Linked DNA regions of Oreochromis niloticus. The protein of the gene in region 1 purifies or fractionates together with the protein of each later gene. This does not show direct contact. Links are inferred from orthologs where the notes say so. Each region holds a gene or a part of one and is shown in the gene's direction. Other genes may lie near its edges.

Region 1 (7,536 bases):
TGACATGGCCTCCTTGTTCACCTGATCTGAACCCCATTGAGAACCTGTGGTCCATCATCAAATGTGAGATTTACAAGGAGGGAAAACAGTACACCTCTCTGAACAGTGTCTGGGAGGCTGTGGTTGCTGCTGCACGCAATGTTGATGGTGAACAGATCAAAACACTGACAGGATCCATGGATGGCAGGCTTTTGAGTGTCCTTGCAAAGAAAGGTGGCTATATTGGTCGCTGATTTGTTTTTGTTTTGTTTTTGAATGTCAGAAATGTGAATGTGGAGATGTTATATTGGTTTCACTGGTAAAAATAAATAATTGAAATGGGTATATATTTGTTTTTTGTTAAGTTGCCTAATAATTATGCACAGTAATACTCACCTGCACACACAGATATCCCCCTAAAATAGCTAAAACTAAAAACAAACTAAAAACTACTTCCAAAAACATTCAGCTTTGATATTAATGAGTTTTTTGGGTTCATTGAGAACATAGTTGTTGTTCAATAATAAAATTATTCCTCAAAAATACAACTTGCCTAATAATTCTGCACTCCCTGTAAATAGGTTAAACAAGTATATGTGTTATATTTAATTAAGCACTCAATTGCACTTTAGCCTACTCGTCCAGTCGTGGGATGAAATATAGTCTCACCTTTCTTCCGTCTGGTTTGTCCACCAGAAAGACCTCGCTCCAAATCTGGATCCCGGTGGTCTCCCTCTCTGAGCCGCCCCTCCAGGAGAAGCCGGTCAGAGGTTCTTCTGGATTGCCGAGCCAGTTTTCAGACGCCTGAGCACCGACGGATCACAGTTTAGTCTAACAGGTCAATTTACCCTCTATGACTTTGAAATATTGCATTTTTTTTATTTGATCTGCTGCTTGAAAAAAAAGATGGCATAAATATGATAAAGGAAGATAAAGAAATGCATAGCCATTTTAATCCAAGATTACTGTACATAAGCAGGTTGGTGCATGCATGTAGTAATATAATATCATAAATATTCTTCTTTTTTGCCAGTACCTTTGCTATATTTCAATTTTTTATGTGCTACACCAAATCACAAGCTAAATCTGGAACTTTTCCACTAGCACGGCTGAGCCGATTCACGCACACAGACTGTATGATCTATACCACGCAGACTGGAGTAATGCTTTTGCAGAGACTTACATGGTTGTACATGTAACGCAGCATAAAGTCCATGAGGAAAGACTTGCCCTTCCGGAAAGCTCCGGCCACGGAGATGGCCACCACCTCACGATCTCTGACCTCCTCAGACAGCAGGATGCGGCTCAGCGCCGCCTCATCCAGCTCAAAGGTGTGGTCATCTTTGACCAGCAGCACTTGGATAGGCCGAGCTCTTCCGTCTGGCTCCTCCTCCTCCGAGCTCCAATCATAGACATTTTTATCACTGAGGGACCCTGGAAGAGAAGACAGTCGTGGGAAATCATAAAACCTAAAGCAAGAAAACGGCATTAACATTACAGTCAAACACAGAGATGAAGGCAAAATGTTTTATTTAAAGAATTTATTGTGTCAATGAAACACCAACTAAAATGTTGACTGAACAGCGAGAACTTCTTCACAGGGATGATAAGCGCACTTAGCAGTCCATTAAGTGAGGAAACAGGAAAGTTGAGTCCATTACTCCTTCCTGCTTCAGCTCCAGATCAATAGCATGGCCTGCAAGCTTGTTAATAATATTCATAATGAATCAGGCCACGCTCTTTTTATCCGATGAGATCATGTGCATTCTGAGGTTTTTTTCCATACTTTTCCATGCAATGACTCAGTGTCTTTCCAGTCTCTGCTGTCTCATGTAGAGTGTAAGGGCTGAATGGGCTTCCTGCAATGATTGGAGGCTTTCCGAGCTCCCAAATTCCCCACATTGTAATGTTTGTTTACTGAAGACGAAAGAAAGTCCAAACACACACCACTAATTCCAGTCACTGCAGCTGTGGTGTTAATTTTGAGCTTTTAATGCAAATCAAAGCATGGATACAACTCTTTAAAAAGCAGCAGTGACAGATTAAGGAGTAGCAGACAAAATTTTAAGGATGTGCTAAATGATTAATAAAGGGTGCCAAGAATGCACAGTGAATAATTCAGCAGGGAATCATCCAAGGTTTCGTCTCAGGCTTGAAGGGGACTATCAGGGTGGCTTCACATCTCTTGCAATGGCCGCTTCAGCCAGGCCTGGCATCATGAGCCTGCCTGGTTAACCTGATCGTGTTCCTCTGCTGCTGCTGCTGCTGCCCTTAAAACAGCCGAAGACGTCAGAAGCGGTCTGCTTAAAGTGGGTCAGCCCAGATAAACTCTCTGATGACAAACAGCAGCATTTCACCCTTTTCCCCCTCACTCCCAATGCAGTCATTCAGCCCCTTCCTTTCCCTTGCAGACCTGAATTTAAAGTTAACACAGAGCATAGCGTGATGTCAGTGACAATCACCAACAGTGATGATGACATTAACGGTCAGGGTGCAGATGGTGGTCCTGAGGATGATGAGAGGCTATCTTCTGATGCAATATTACATAATTGTATGCCAGATGCACCACGTACAATCACGAGAAGCTCACTGTGATAAACAAAATACATCAGGAGGTGGTTTTCAGGCCTCTTAGGGAGGTTCAGAGAGCACTAACAGACATTTCCCTGCGCGCTGATCACTGAATAAAAATATAACACGTCTTAGAAATATAGGTCTGTGCTTGCTTATGCCTGATTAGACAATATTCCTGCAGAGACTCACAAAAACACGTATTTTTCACCATAAATGGCGTGATGCATTGCTGCATTAAAATAAATAAACACTGGTCATGATACGGTCAAAACGAAACCAAGCCTTTCATCATGGAGTCTAAGATAAACATCTTACTGACTTACACCCTCTCCTCCGCGGCAGGGAAGATAAAAAACGGTTTGTGCCGTCAAGAAAAGCAATGAAATATGAAATACTGTACGTACACTCACCCCAGCTGTCTCTTTCTGGACGGTGTTTCGCCATAATACTGTCGTTATATCCCTTTGATTGTGGGTTACTGAGCGACCCTAGTCGGTAATCATGAGTGTATATCGTGGGCTGGGAGAATGCCCTGGCTCCACCAAAACGATGCTCGTATCGCAGGAGGATGATGGAGCTTTTATCCTCAATGTGATGCAGCCATGCTGTATCTCGCTAGGGGGCGCAGTTCTAAAGCAGCGGCTTGAGGCATGGGACGACAGCTGAATGCAGTTCGGCTCATATTGCAATGTCTACAGAAAAGAATGATTAGCGGTTATGTGCTTGAAAGTGCGACCAGAAACGCATTTCTTTGTCGCTGCCTTCACGTGAAATTTTAGCTTCTACCGGCAGGTGGCGGTAATTACACAGAGGTTGGAAGGTATGCCCCCTTCAGGTGCGCCTTTGTAAAAATGTAAATTCCAAATGGGTAGAGTAGTAGTCAGTATGTTGTTAAATACTACATTCAATAAATAAATAAATACAAATTCCCCTCTTTATTGAACCGTTATTATACGTTGAACTGAACTGTAACTTTATGGAGAGATGGAGAGATTTACATGGAGAGATGCCAAACTGCCTTTCACTGTTCTTATAACAGTGACAATAAAAAGCTATTCTATTCTATTCTATTCTTATGAATAGAAAACATCAACTCAATTTAATATGTTTATTTTTTTCATTAAAACAATTACCCATATTATATTCTAACACATGGATAAATATTATTGTTTTAAAATAAACCACTTTCATGTTGGGTAATAAAGGAAATTACAGATATCTGGTTTTAGACCTATTGGTATCAGATAATTCTTTCACTTAAACTTTATTTTAAATTAGAATAACTTAAAATATTACTATTACCGTACATCAAAAAAATTCAGACCTTTTTCCACCAACCTTTTGAAAAATAAAGATTTTCTCTTATTTAGAATATATTTATTATTCCTTATTGTATTTTGTGGCATGAAATTATGCTTGTAAAGCATTTTCAAATACAGTAATACCTGCAAATGATAACTTTAAGGGGTCATAATTACATCTCAACAGAAATTTTATTCATCCAACTTTTTTGAAAAGATATGCTGAGATACTAAACCATAACGACATCAAAAACGAGCCCATAAATCAAAATTTGGTTTGAATAGATAATAAAGAAAAGGTACTATTTTAAAAATGAGACGTCTGGATACATTTCATGTGCTTTTAATGCCCTTTACATTTTTATTTCTTTATTTCAAATCGAATATTTTTGTTATGTTATTAATGATGTAATAATTAGTCTATATACGTGATTGTGGTTAGATTATTTTCCGTGATGCACTCGAATGCAACAGCGTCCAATAACTGCGACTCCACAAAGATTAGTAACACACTGTTGCTTTTAAGGGAGCGTGTTATTTCAGTAAATCCAACAGTTTATTGTTTATGTAGTTTAACGTTAGTATTCTACCCATGAGCCCGAGGCTAATCTAAAACTGTCAGCCGAGGGAAATGACATGGCAACGGCAAAACTTAACGCTGGCTTGCGGGGATTTGAAGTCGACCCTGTCGCTTTTTCTCTGAAGGAGTGAACAGCAGCAGCAGCAGGACCAGCAAGCGAGTGAAGTTTACTACTGTTCCCTCGATAACAAAAGAGGGGGACCGCCTTTGTTTTTTTTGGATAACTATTCGACGCCATCGCACAGTTAAAAGCCTGAAAACGATTCGGAGTTCAAGACATGCTCCCGCCGTGTTTGTGTTGTTGAAGGTATACACTGTTGAAGTTAGAGCCAGCCGAGAAGCTAACTTTAGCCAGTTAGCTAGCGTTAGCTGACCCGCCCGGATGCTAAGCCTCTCACTGGCTCTGGCTAATTGCTGGAATGACCACAACCTGCATGTTAATACCGTTATAATGGTCACTGATTTTAATTGCCTTTCTCTTTATTACTTTTGAGGAGTAGTTGGCGGTGAATTAATTAGTGATTGCGTGACAGATGTCAAAGCTAAGCTCGTCCAGGGTTATTACTAGAGATTAATACTCGCTGTTTTTCTTTTGTGCACTTTCCCCCCCCCACAACTTTCCACCTTTCAGGACATGGACAACAGGGACGGGCAGTCTGAGTAACACTGACTCAAAACCATTGTTGCATCAGATCATCGACACCACCGTTGGCCAGTCCAAATAAATGTAAAGGCATCTCTGGGTCAAGGTACCATGGATATCTTTACCCGGCCAAGCAATGAAATCCAGAGGAGGAACCCTCAGCATGACTTTGAGCTCATTCAGAGGGTGGGAAGTGGCACATATGGAGACGTGTATAAGGTACAGTGATGTTCCCACAGTCTGTCATTAGAGCTGGAGATAACATAAGCCACCACATCATGACGAATCAGGCTGTCGCTCTAATTTAAGCCAGAGTGGTGTTTGCTTTGTAAGCCATGATAACATGTGGCAAACACATTGACAGGAGCTTTTGAGTGAGAGCCAGGTTGTGCATCCATTCATGCGCCAAACATTGCATATGGTGGCGCTTACTGTTTTTTACTTTATCTTATTTTATTGGTTGGATCAGTTTGTTATCTATATTTTCCTGCTTGTCGAGGCAGTGTTGCTGAACCAGTTTGACTGTTGTGCTCAGGTCGTTGCTTGTACCTTCTTGTTAGTTTGCTCTACCACTTTTGGTGGAGACAATGCAACATACATCAGAAATACATTCACCACTTACTTCAATAGGTACACCTGTTTAGCTGCTTGCTAACTGTGTATGCAAGCAGAGTCACATGGGAGTAACTCAACGGATAGGCATGTGGACATGGTCATGATCCCCTGCTGAAGTTCAAACTGAGCATCAGAATGAGGAAGAAAGAAAGGTGATTTAAGTGACTTTGAATGTGGTTGTTGGCGTCAGATGGATAGTCTGAATATTTCGGAAACTCTTTATCTACTGGGATTTTCCACCACACCATCATTGGTAGGCTTTACAGATAATATCTGAAAAAGACAAAATGTCCAGTGAGGAGCAGGGGAAAAAGCCTCGTTGATCCCAGAGGTCAGAAGAGAATGGCCAAAATGCTTTAGGCTAATAGAAAGGCAACAGTAACTCAAATAACCACTCGTTCTGCGTACCTCGTTATACAGAAGTATGCAGGAGAGCATCTCTGAATGCATAACATGTCTAACCTTGAACCAGATGAGCTACACCAGCTTATGTTGTAAATTGCCCTTGCTTACTGTACAGTCTCTTATTTCTCATTTTTTATTTGCATTCTCCATCTGCCTGTCACTTTGCTGCTGGAACACTAGAATTTCCCCCAATCAGGGTCAATAAAGGATCTTTCTATTCTATTCTATTATTCTTTGAAATGCGGTGGAACAGGAGATTCACATCATGTATGTGCATGCGACAAATGTTCAGCAACTCTGTGATACTATCTGTTAATATGGGCCAAAGGAATGTTTTGATCACCTTGTTGAATCTGTGCTGTGAAGATTTAAAGCAGTTCTGAAAGCGAAAGTGGCTCCAGGACAGTACAAGGGCGTACCTAATAAAGTGGTCAGTTAGAGTACATTGTGTGATGCATAAGAGTTTAGCTGTCAACTTTGTGTTTAGTTTTTGGACATGCACATGATATGGGAGGACTGTCAGCAATAACATATTATTATTTGGTTCCTTTTTTCACTTGCATTTGTGCTATATTTATTTTGCAGCTTTTTATGAGACAGTCTAGTTTCGTAAGTTTTTCTTTTTGGGGTTTTTCCCTTTTTTGTGGAAAAACTGGGCAAATATGTCTTGAGTCTACAAGTCTTATTGCAATTAAAACCAGAGGTCCAAAGTAAAAAACAGTAGAGAGAGTAATTGACTGTTCGGGTGATTTGTTACCATGTTCTTCTTGAAAAATGGCAAAGGTTCACTTGTTCCAGCTGCACATTTATGAGTGTTTGCTCCTTTTCTTTGTCAGATTGTTGTGAACCTCAAACATCTGGAGAATCCCCATAGAAAATCGAATGATTATATCAGTGCGTTGATGTATTTCTTTCAAGCCAATGCTGTTTTGCGTATCTGTTATTAATTTGCTGGGTATAGCCGACTAACTGCCAGATGTTTCCCACTGTTTGTCTGGCTGCAGCGAGGTGCGTTTTGCTGGAGAATTTTCTTTTTTATCCATCTGTCGCACACAAACAGACGAACCATCTGATGTAGACGTGATGGTTCAGCCGGGCTCACATGGCCTCCTTCCATACAAAGCCTTGCTGGCCAGCGAGCCAGCCCACCCCCCACCCCAGACAGGCCACCGGTGGTATGCTGCGCCTGGTATTCTCCCGGAGCTCACAGGCTCAGAGCTGCAGTGAGCTGAAATACGATCAGGCCCCTGTCTAAACATGCGTTTCACTATGGGTGTGTTCTGCTCTGCGTTGACAGAGAAAGCGCCTTTAGATTGGGAAAAGTCCTCAGCATGGCATTCCTCATGTTTGAATGTTTACTACATGTGATTATATTGGTTTAAGAATTTCATGGCATCTCTGTGGAGGTTATTTTAGTTTTCTTTAGTTGTAGAGTAATT
Region 2 (7,992 bases), on another chromosome or scaffold:
ATGCTATACGGCAGCACCTCCCTTAAGTGGAATGCAACCATCATTAACACACCTGTGTGCTTCCTGTCACGGCATGTCAAAATGTCTGCTGTTCAGGAAAAAAACAAAACAATACAGACGCATCACGTTTATTGACAATTACTGCTCATAATGATGTGTAATATGGACAGAAAACACAAATAATGCTCTATAAGGCCTGGATCTTTTAGTTTTGCACACAGCAGAAGGACTGATTTCAACTTTTCACTGGGAATAATTCATGTATTCTGCTTGTTTTTTCAACCACTGAGTTTCAGGACATTTGTGGCTTGTTTTCACTTCACAAAAAAGCAAGCATAAAAGCACACTTTTTTTCATAAAACCACTTTTTTTTTGTCATTCAGTGTGCTAAGGAGCAGTGTAATGATTTTCACTGGTCCAGCATTAGTATTTAAGCATTTACACTTTGTGTTCAAGCATAAGGATGAAAGGGCATAAATGTCCTCTGCACAAAACAATGCTGTTCCTTTATATTTTTCCCTTTGCGCCTGACTCTTCGGGATACTGTTCCTTTTAGTGGGCTAATCGTGTGGAGAGTTATTTGCATGCTGAGTGTTGTATTTCAGATATTATGACACAAAATAGGCAACAGGTGATCCTACCTTATATAAATGTACTATTGTTATGTTAGCACTGGTTTCTCAGGTCGTACACCACTGCAAACACTGGGTTTGTCAGTTTAAGAGAAGTGAAATGTCACTTAGGTTTTGATCGCTACAGATTTGCCAAAGTGTGCCAAAGTGTGCGATAATTAGATATATTAAGAAATGTATTTAAAGCTTTGATTTATTTGTTTATGTGGAGCATTACTTGTGTTTAATTAAGCCCAACCGCGGTCCTGTTTACATGGTTTATGAGTCATTTTCTGCTTCACAGGCTACATTTCCCTTTATTCCTTCTCTTTAGAAGAACCCTCACCAGCTCCTTTAGTTGCTGATTCATCCATAACATCTATATTGGACATGTATTTACAGTATAAACACTGCATAAAGTTGAACAGAATAAAATAAACAAGCCGTGGCGTGTCTTTTTATTGAACCTGCTTGTCATATGAACGCTTCACTGAAAACGAGGAAGTTAAAATAACCAAAAGCAGAATTGACCACTTGACAGGCCTGGCTACAGCAACGTCGTCAGTTGCACTAGATTAGGCTGTGGTCTCGTATTAACTCTTCACTAACTGAATGAAAAAATAATTAGTGAGAACAAAAAAGTTTAGAAAGTTAAGGTAAGACTATGAGCATGAAGTTGTCACAGGTAATGCAATGTGATATTGTAAGAAACAAGAGATAATTGTGGCTTCTTAAAGTTTTAGAAATGCTATGGGGAAGTGGCTCATTTAAAAACATTTGAACCAAAGCAACAACAAACTGAAACATGAGGAAGTAATGAAGCGGGTGAAAATGCTTTATCTGAAGCCTTTATTGTGAACCTGGTGTACCTGTAGAAATCTAGAAGTATTTCTAGAAATGTAGAATATCTATGGATATCTACCTATTTGTGTCCATTTAGTAGCATGTAAACAGGTTTACCTTTACAGAAACCTGACTGCATATTCTGGGAAACCAGGCTGAGAGGTAAAAGGTGACTCATGCCATGGAGGCTGTAACAGTGAGTCGCTCATCTATATAAACCCTTACACTGGTCTAAAAATGCACTGACTCTTTAACAGCAGCATCTCGTGCCATATTTACCAGTCTGCTGCTTGTCTGTCGTTAGTCTTCACATCAAAGCATGCTCAACTTTGAACTGAATGCCAGTGACAACAATCAGGAACGTGGTAGGATGTTAAAATAAAATATAGTAGAGGCTAAGTATTTCAAAAGTGAAGGCTGGGAGGGGGTTCGCCCACTGCCAGAAACTGCATGGATAGAGAATACAGGTATTTTATCATATATGGTAAAAACTTAACATGATCTTGTTCCTGAATGCCTGTCTGTGTGACCCTGGGCAGGATTTGTCAAGGTAATCTGTGTGTTTGTGTTCTGGCACATGAGAGCAAGGTTGCAACTCTGCTCAACAGCTTTAGTATCTATGATTTATTCGAAGTTAAAATAAAATAAAAAGCTTTTTTTAAGCAAAATTTACAGTCTCAGAGAAACTGACCTTTCCAACACAGGTCTTATCCTGCACCATGTGAACATCCTCTTCAAAACGTGATTTAGATTATAATTAACTGCAGTTTGCATCACTACACTGGAATTCCTGTCACTGTCTCACAGGATACATCACCATGAAAATAATAAATATAAGTTTAATGCACAAAGAAAAGAGCTGGAGAAAGACGCTGTGTGAAAGAGATAAAGGCACAGAAGGGTAGTGAGGGGTTGAAGTGGTTACAAGCAGAAGATGGTTTGTAAAATGTGTAAGTTTCTTATGAAGTCTTAAGTGTTAAGTCTTAAGTGGGGGAAGGGGAATTTATTTGCAGACTAACGGCCTTTACACACAATCTGACTGGCTGAAATAAAACTGTGCCGATGCTCTCTGCAGTGTCTTAGGTTGCGTCTTCTGCAGCCGAAAAATGAGCTGGGTGGAGAGGGGGCCTCTCCAGCCATAATTACTTTTCTTTTGTTGCGCCTGTGCAAAGAACAAGATCACAGGTTTTGTTCACTAGTTCCTTGTGCAACAACTCATCGACCACCGATTAGGTCAAGGGTGGTTGTGTCATCTGTGCATTTAATCTTCAGACTCCAGGGCATCAAGACTGAGCTAAAGGGAGCATCCATTCAAGGTTACTGTGTTGATGTGAGTTTAACAGAGGCTAAAAGTTTTCTAAGCTATTGCAAAACCAGTTACAGGTGGGTTTTTGGGTTGAAGAACCAGCTTTTCTAGGCTTTTCTGCGTGTGTGCTGGCCTGAAGTTATCCATTTTGGTATGGTGGGTTTTTGTAGCAGCTGGTACTTAAGAGAGCACTTGAAGGACTGTAGAACTGCTGCTTAGGTGGTCAAAAATTCACGTTTCATTACGTTTGGACCTGTAGTATCGCTTAATCTTAACCTGCCATACAGACAGACAACAGAATCTATTGATAATGGGATGATGGCAGGCATTGCCTTTTGCATACATCCACTAGATGGTGATGTTTGTGAAGAAACCTTCAGTGTGCATCTACATACAAGGTTAGACAGCAGGTCAGACAACGATACTGTATGTCTCACCCTGCAAAATCCCACAAAGCCAATCTCTTAAATGAAAAGTTGCCCTAGTTAGAAGCCAGTATGGTTCGTGCATATAATATCAGCCTTTTTACCCATAATTCTAAGTAAACTAGTCTGTTTTTTGTTTCTCTTTCCAATTAGTTGCATCACTGCATCTTTGTGGAAATGTGGGAGTTGGCAGGCTTTAGCCATTAAGTCTCGGTGGGTGCAAATCTATTAACATTCAGACAGTGTTTCAGTGATGAGAGCTGTTCTGTGCCAGCTGTAGCCTCATGAGGCACGGCCACTGAAAGCTCAGTCACCACAGGGACAGAGCTACTTCTTTACAGATCCTGCTTTTATCACTGAGTAAAACTTGTTCTGCTTGGCTGAATGGCTTGCCGCACTCTGCTTGTGTTCTCAGATGCATTCTTTCGCTTAGATTGCATTCTTCTTCTTCAGAGACACTGCCCCTTGCATTTAAATGCGCTCTCTCTCTTTCTCTCCGTCTCTCTCTCTCTCGCAGCATATTCTGTTTTGGGTTGGGTCATTCTGGGTGAGCTCCAAATCGATTTTTCACAGTTCTTTGCCAGATAATACTTATTATGAGAATGAATGAAGGGGAAGTTAAATAACACAAGGAAATGAAAATAGGGAAATAAGTACAATTTTTTACTGGTGGTATGAATTAGTTGTTGACTGAGCAAATATACTGTACCTATGGGCTGCGGTTATGTGGCTAAAAAAGTATATTAAAAACACACGAGCTGACCACTGATTTAAAGGCACAGAACACAAAAACATCCGAGACAATCACTAAACACAGTACTAACATAAGAACACGTTGTTCGGCAGACATCTGACCTTTTTTTATTCAGAACTGTAGCTTATTCTATCTGTCAATCATTTTATAGAATAATGTTTTCCATTTATAGAAAAAAAAGCTCAATTTTGATGCTCCTCTTCACACACCTACATAACTACCTGTCAAAAGTACATATATTAGCACTGTCTACTCCACAGTATCTACTTCAAAGCTGCAATGGATCGCAAAATATGCTCCACTGTTGTAGGGTAAAAGTAGTAGTTAAATTAGCCTAGCTTTAACAGAACCAGCTATGACTGTGAAACACTGCCTACACATATTTCCAATTAAGAATCAACTAATGACAGTGCAGGGATATAAACAGAAATAACACCTCGCTCTCATACACATATAGTATGTTACAGCAGCTTTTAACATCAATGTTGCCTACTTAAGACCTGACTGCTTAGCCTCTCTATTGGTTTAGCATTTATTTGAGGTTTAGCCACTCTTTAACCTGATTTAAACTGTGGTATTATATTTTTGAGTCACACGGTGAATCCCTTTTAAGTTTTGAAAAGCAAACATCCAATTAAATTACTACGTCAAAGCAGGAACACGGAGTAAAAAATACACTTGTATCTCGACATGCTCCATATTGCTATATTCACTATATTCCCGAGACGATGGAACAGCTACTTCTATCAGCAGAATGGTTCACTGAGAAATGACTGACACCTACTCTCGCAGAGCTAGGGGCTGTCCGTGGCTTCGCCAAACGCCCACCTCCTTCCTTCACTTCTCCCCCCCTCCCCTCTCTCTCGCTCCTGCCGTCAGTGACGCGCTGATAGAAAGCGGGACCTGCCCTCCCGTCGCCATTTTTCGACCTCAGTACTTCTGGTAGCCTGTGCTAGTGGGGACGAGCGGAAATAAGGGAAAGTATAAAATATAGCAATCGTTAAGCCGAGATCCCTCGTGAGCGGTCGGGGATGCACGCGACAGCTCCTGTAAACGGTCGTGGCTCCTGAGATGCACGCGCAGGAGACGAGCCGCTGCCCTGAAATCATTTTTTTGTGTGAAGACGTGTTGCGAGCCGCCATTTTTCTGCTGTGTTGCCTCAAAAGTCTGCTCCGACTCGAGAAAGGGGATTCGAAAACGCGTTTCCATGAAGTGTGTCTCGCCGTGAGCTCCGCAGGATTTCGGCTGATAGTTTCGTGACCTGCCGGGGACCTTTGTGCACAGATGAGGGATTATCGGATGTAAGAAAAAAGAAGAAGAAGGGGGGAAAAGTGAGGCCACATTTTCCGCTCTCACAACTGATACTGACTGGAGGAGATACATTTATTAGAAGAGAAGATTTGGTGTTTTCTCGGAAGGCGGAACGAAAAGGGGAAGCTTCATTGATCGTTTGCTTCTCTGGCCCTCCGTCAATGGTAGCCTGTCGTAAGTTTGCTCGTTTTTCTTCTGTTTTTTGGCCCCCTTTTAACAACTGCTCGGCCGCAGACTGGGACAACAGTATGCTCCAGAGTTGGATCAAGTCACTGGCAGCCTGCATCTGAAAGGAGGGGAAAAAAAGAAAACAAAAACGCCAGGTTGTTTTTGTTTTTCTTAAACAGATTTTTTCGGTGCCTGAGGCGTTTTGTGAAGAAATCACTCGGAAACTCCTTCCAGAGCGACGAGTGCCCTGCCCTGAGTCTTCCAAATCCTACAGTTTGCTGTGATTGGCCAATTGGAACCACGCATACAGCTTTTAACTTATTGCCTAGCCAATCCTGTAGTATTTTCCTTTCTATTATTATTAATATTAATTTGTAAGCCCACATTAACTTATTTTTGAACAGAAATGTCAACTGCTCGATTTGATTCCTCTGATCGGTCCGCCTGGTATTTTGGACCCGTGTCACGACAGGAGGCACAGAATAGGTTACAAGGACAGAGACATGGCATGTTTCTTGTTCGAGACTCGTCGACCTGCCCCGGCGACTACGTACTGTCGGTGTCGGAAAACTCCAAAGTGTCTCACTATATCATCAACTCTTTGCCCAGCAAGAGGTTCAAAATAGGGGATCAAGAGTTCGACCACCTCCCAGCTCTCCTGGAGTTCTACAAAATCCATTACTTGGACACGACCACGCTGATAGAGCCAGCCCCCAGGTAGGGAGGTCACCCACCACGCCTCCTCTAGCACTTTACCATACTATTTTTATCAGAACTAACCCAGTTTCACTTGGTTATGTCATAAAATCAGCACTATTACCACACATCTAGTTTGCTTGTTTGTTTGTTTGTTTGGGGGTTTTGTTTTTTCTTTGAAGTGTTGGTACCACTGGAAAAATAAACCTCACTCAGGATTTGTGTGGTTTTATAGCCAAACCTGATACCACATTTTGGTAATTGAGGAGTTAGGTAATCATGTTTATAAAGGATTTTATTCAACAAATAATGCAGTTTTGTTGTATTCTAGGCTTCACAGTGATGACTTTTAAGGATAACCAATTAACATTTACTTAATTTCGTCATTATTTTTAATTTTCTAAGGTATTCAAGTACACCGAGTCCTCCTGTCCAGCCCATGGTTGGAGCAGAGGAGAATCTGGAGTATGTGCGGACTCTATACGACTTCACCGGCAGCGATGCTGAGGACCTTCCCTTCAAGAAGGGGGAGATCCTTATCATCCTGGAAAAACCGGAGGAGCAGTGGTGGAGCGCCAAGAATAAAGATGGACGTGCTGGGATGATCCCTGTGCCCTACGTAGAGAAAGTGGTACGACCTTCACTCCACCCTGGCCAACCTTCTCATGGATCGCGAAACTCCAACAGCTATGGGATCCCTGAGCCCTCCAATGCTCTTGCTCATGCCTATGCCCAACCCCAGACGCCTTCTCCAATGCCCAACGCACCTGGAGCAGTTATCGCTCCGCTACCGTCCATGCAGAACGGCCCTGTCATGGCGAAAGCCATCCAGAAACGAGTGCCCTGTGCCTACGACAAGACTGCTCTTGCTCTAGAGGTATTGTATTTATTTGATCTTACCTGTTTTATTTCTTTGTTTTTGTTTTTTTTCTAGGGGATCAGTGTAATTTCATCATGTTTTAATGCACTGCTCATTTTTATAAAGGATGGATATTGTAATTAAATCGTTAACTTTTCATAAATCTGTTTAGCTGGACCTTTGATCTGTAATGCAACATCATGCAGTAAATTAATATGCCAGGTAAGGGCCTGGAGTACAACACGCTATAAGCTTCTTTGCCTAAAGCAGCAGTATTCCATCTTCAGTCATTTCTTAATTATTTTTCCATCTGCGCCCAAATAAATCAAAGATGTCTGTGTGCAGCTTAGACTTTTCTACACAAATTAGTTTATCACCTCAGTCAAGTTAAAACACTGAAAAAACTTGTGTTTTTACATTTTCACAACCTGACAGCTCTCTAGGAGCTGTCAGGTTACTTAAACATAGACAACAATCTCAAGAGGTAACTCTTATAAAAATTAGGTTGTGTGACCAAAGCTTGGAGAGGCTTCTGTGTAAAACTATCACTTCTTTTTATACTAAAACTGCAAAATTAAGTAGTAGAATGACCTGGGGAAACACCAGTCCCGCCTTCAGTTACCACAGTAGTTTTGCTGGGTTCAATGTGAGAAAGTGTCTACAGATAAGCTTCGCCTTTTCTGAGTCCTTTTGACATTCTAGCCTCTTGATGTGTGCTCACACTAAAAGACTAATAACCAAACTGTGGTTTTAGCATCTTGCTGCTTGCTCTTATCAGGCCCTTCCTGTTTGTTTGAATATAAAAAGTTATTATTACACCAGGAGACTATGTCTGTTCACAACTAGCTCTGGACACTGGCTGCACAAAGATGCTTTGGTTATGTGGTGCTGCTGTTCAGTCAGAATACATGAACCACATCTATTTTGTAGCCTTGGATAGTTAAAAAAACAAAAACAAAAAAATAAAACAACTTTTTGGCTTTGGATTGGACCAAAAGTCATGCAGATATGAGATGGGT

What was found.
Region 2: the proteins of map4k5 (region 1) and crkl purify together in Homo sapiens (affinity purification with western blotting; 3 studies listed by BioGRID and IntAct, with this or other methods). This does not show direct contact. The link is inferred for Oreochromis niloticus from reciprocal best matches to the Homo sapiens genes MAP4K5 and CRKL.

The regions. Positions count from the first base shown.
Region 1 is NC_031983.2:21,098,993-21,106,528, forward strand, and holds the start of map4k5 (mitogen-activated protein kinase kinase kinase kinase 5), read left to right. Parts: upstream 1-4,320; 5' UTR 4,321-4,741; intron 4,742-5,065; 5' UTR 5,066-5,188; coding exon 5,189-5,296; intron 5,297-7,536. Other genes in the region: atl1 (atlastin-1), read right to left, coding at 649-783, 1,163-1,413, 2,958-2,997. UniProt on the Homo sapiens protein: May play a role in the response to environmental stress. Appears to act upstream of the JUN N-terminal pathway.
Region 2 is NC_031972.2:23,838,035-23,846,026, reverse strand, and holds the start of crkl (crk-like protein), read left to right. Parts: upstream 1-4,814; 5' UTR 4,815-5,824; coding exon 5,825-6,135; intron 6,136-6,519; coding exon 6,520-6,991; intron 6,992-7,992. UniProt on the Homo sapiens protein: May mediate the transduction of intracellular signals.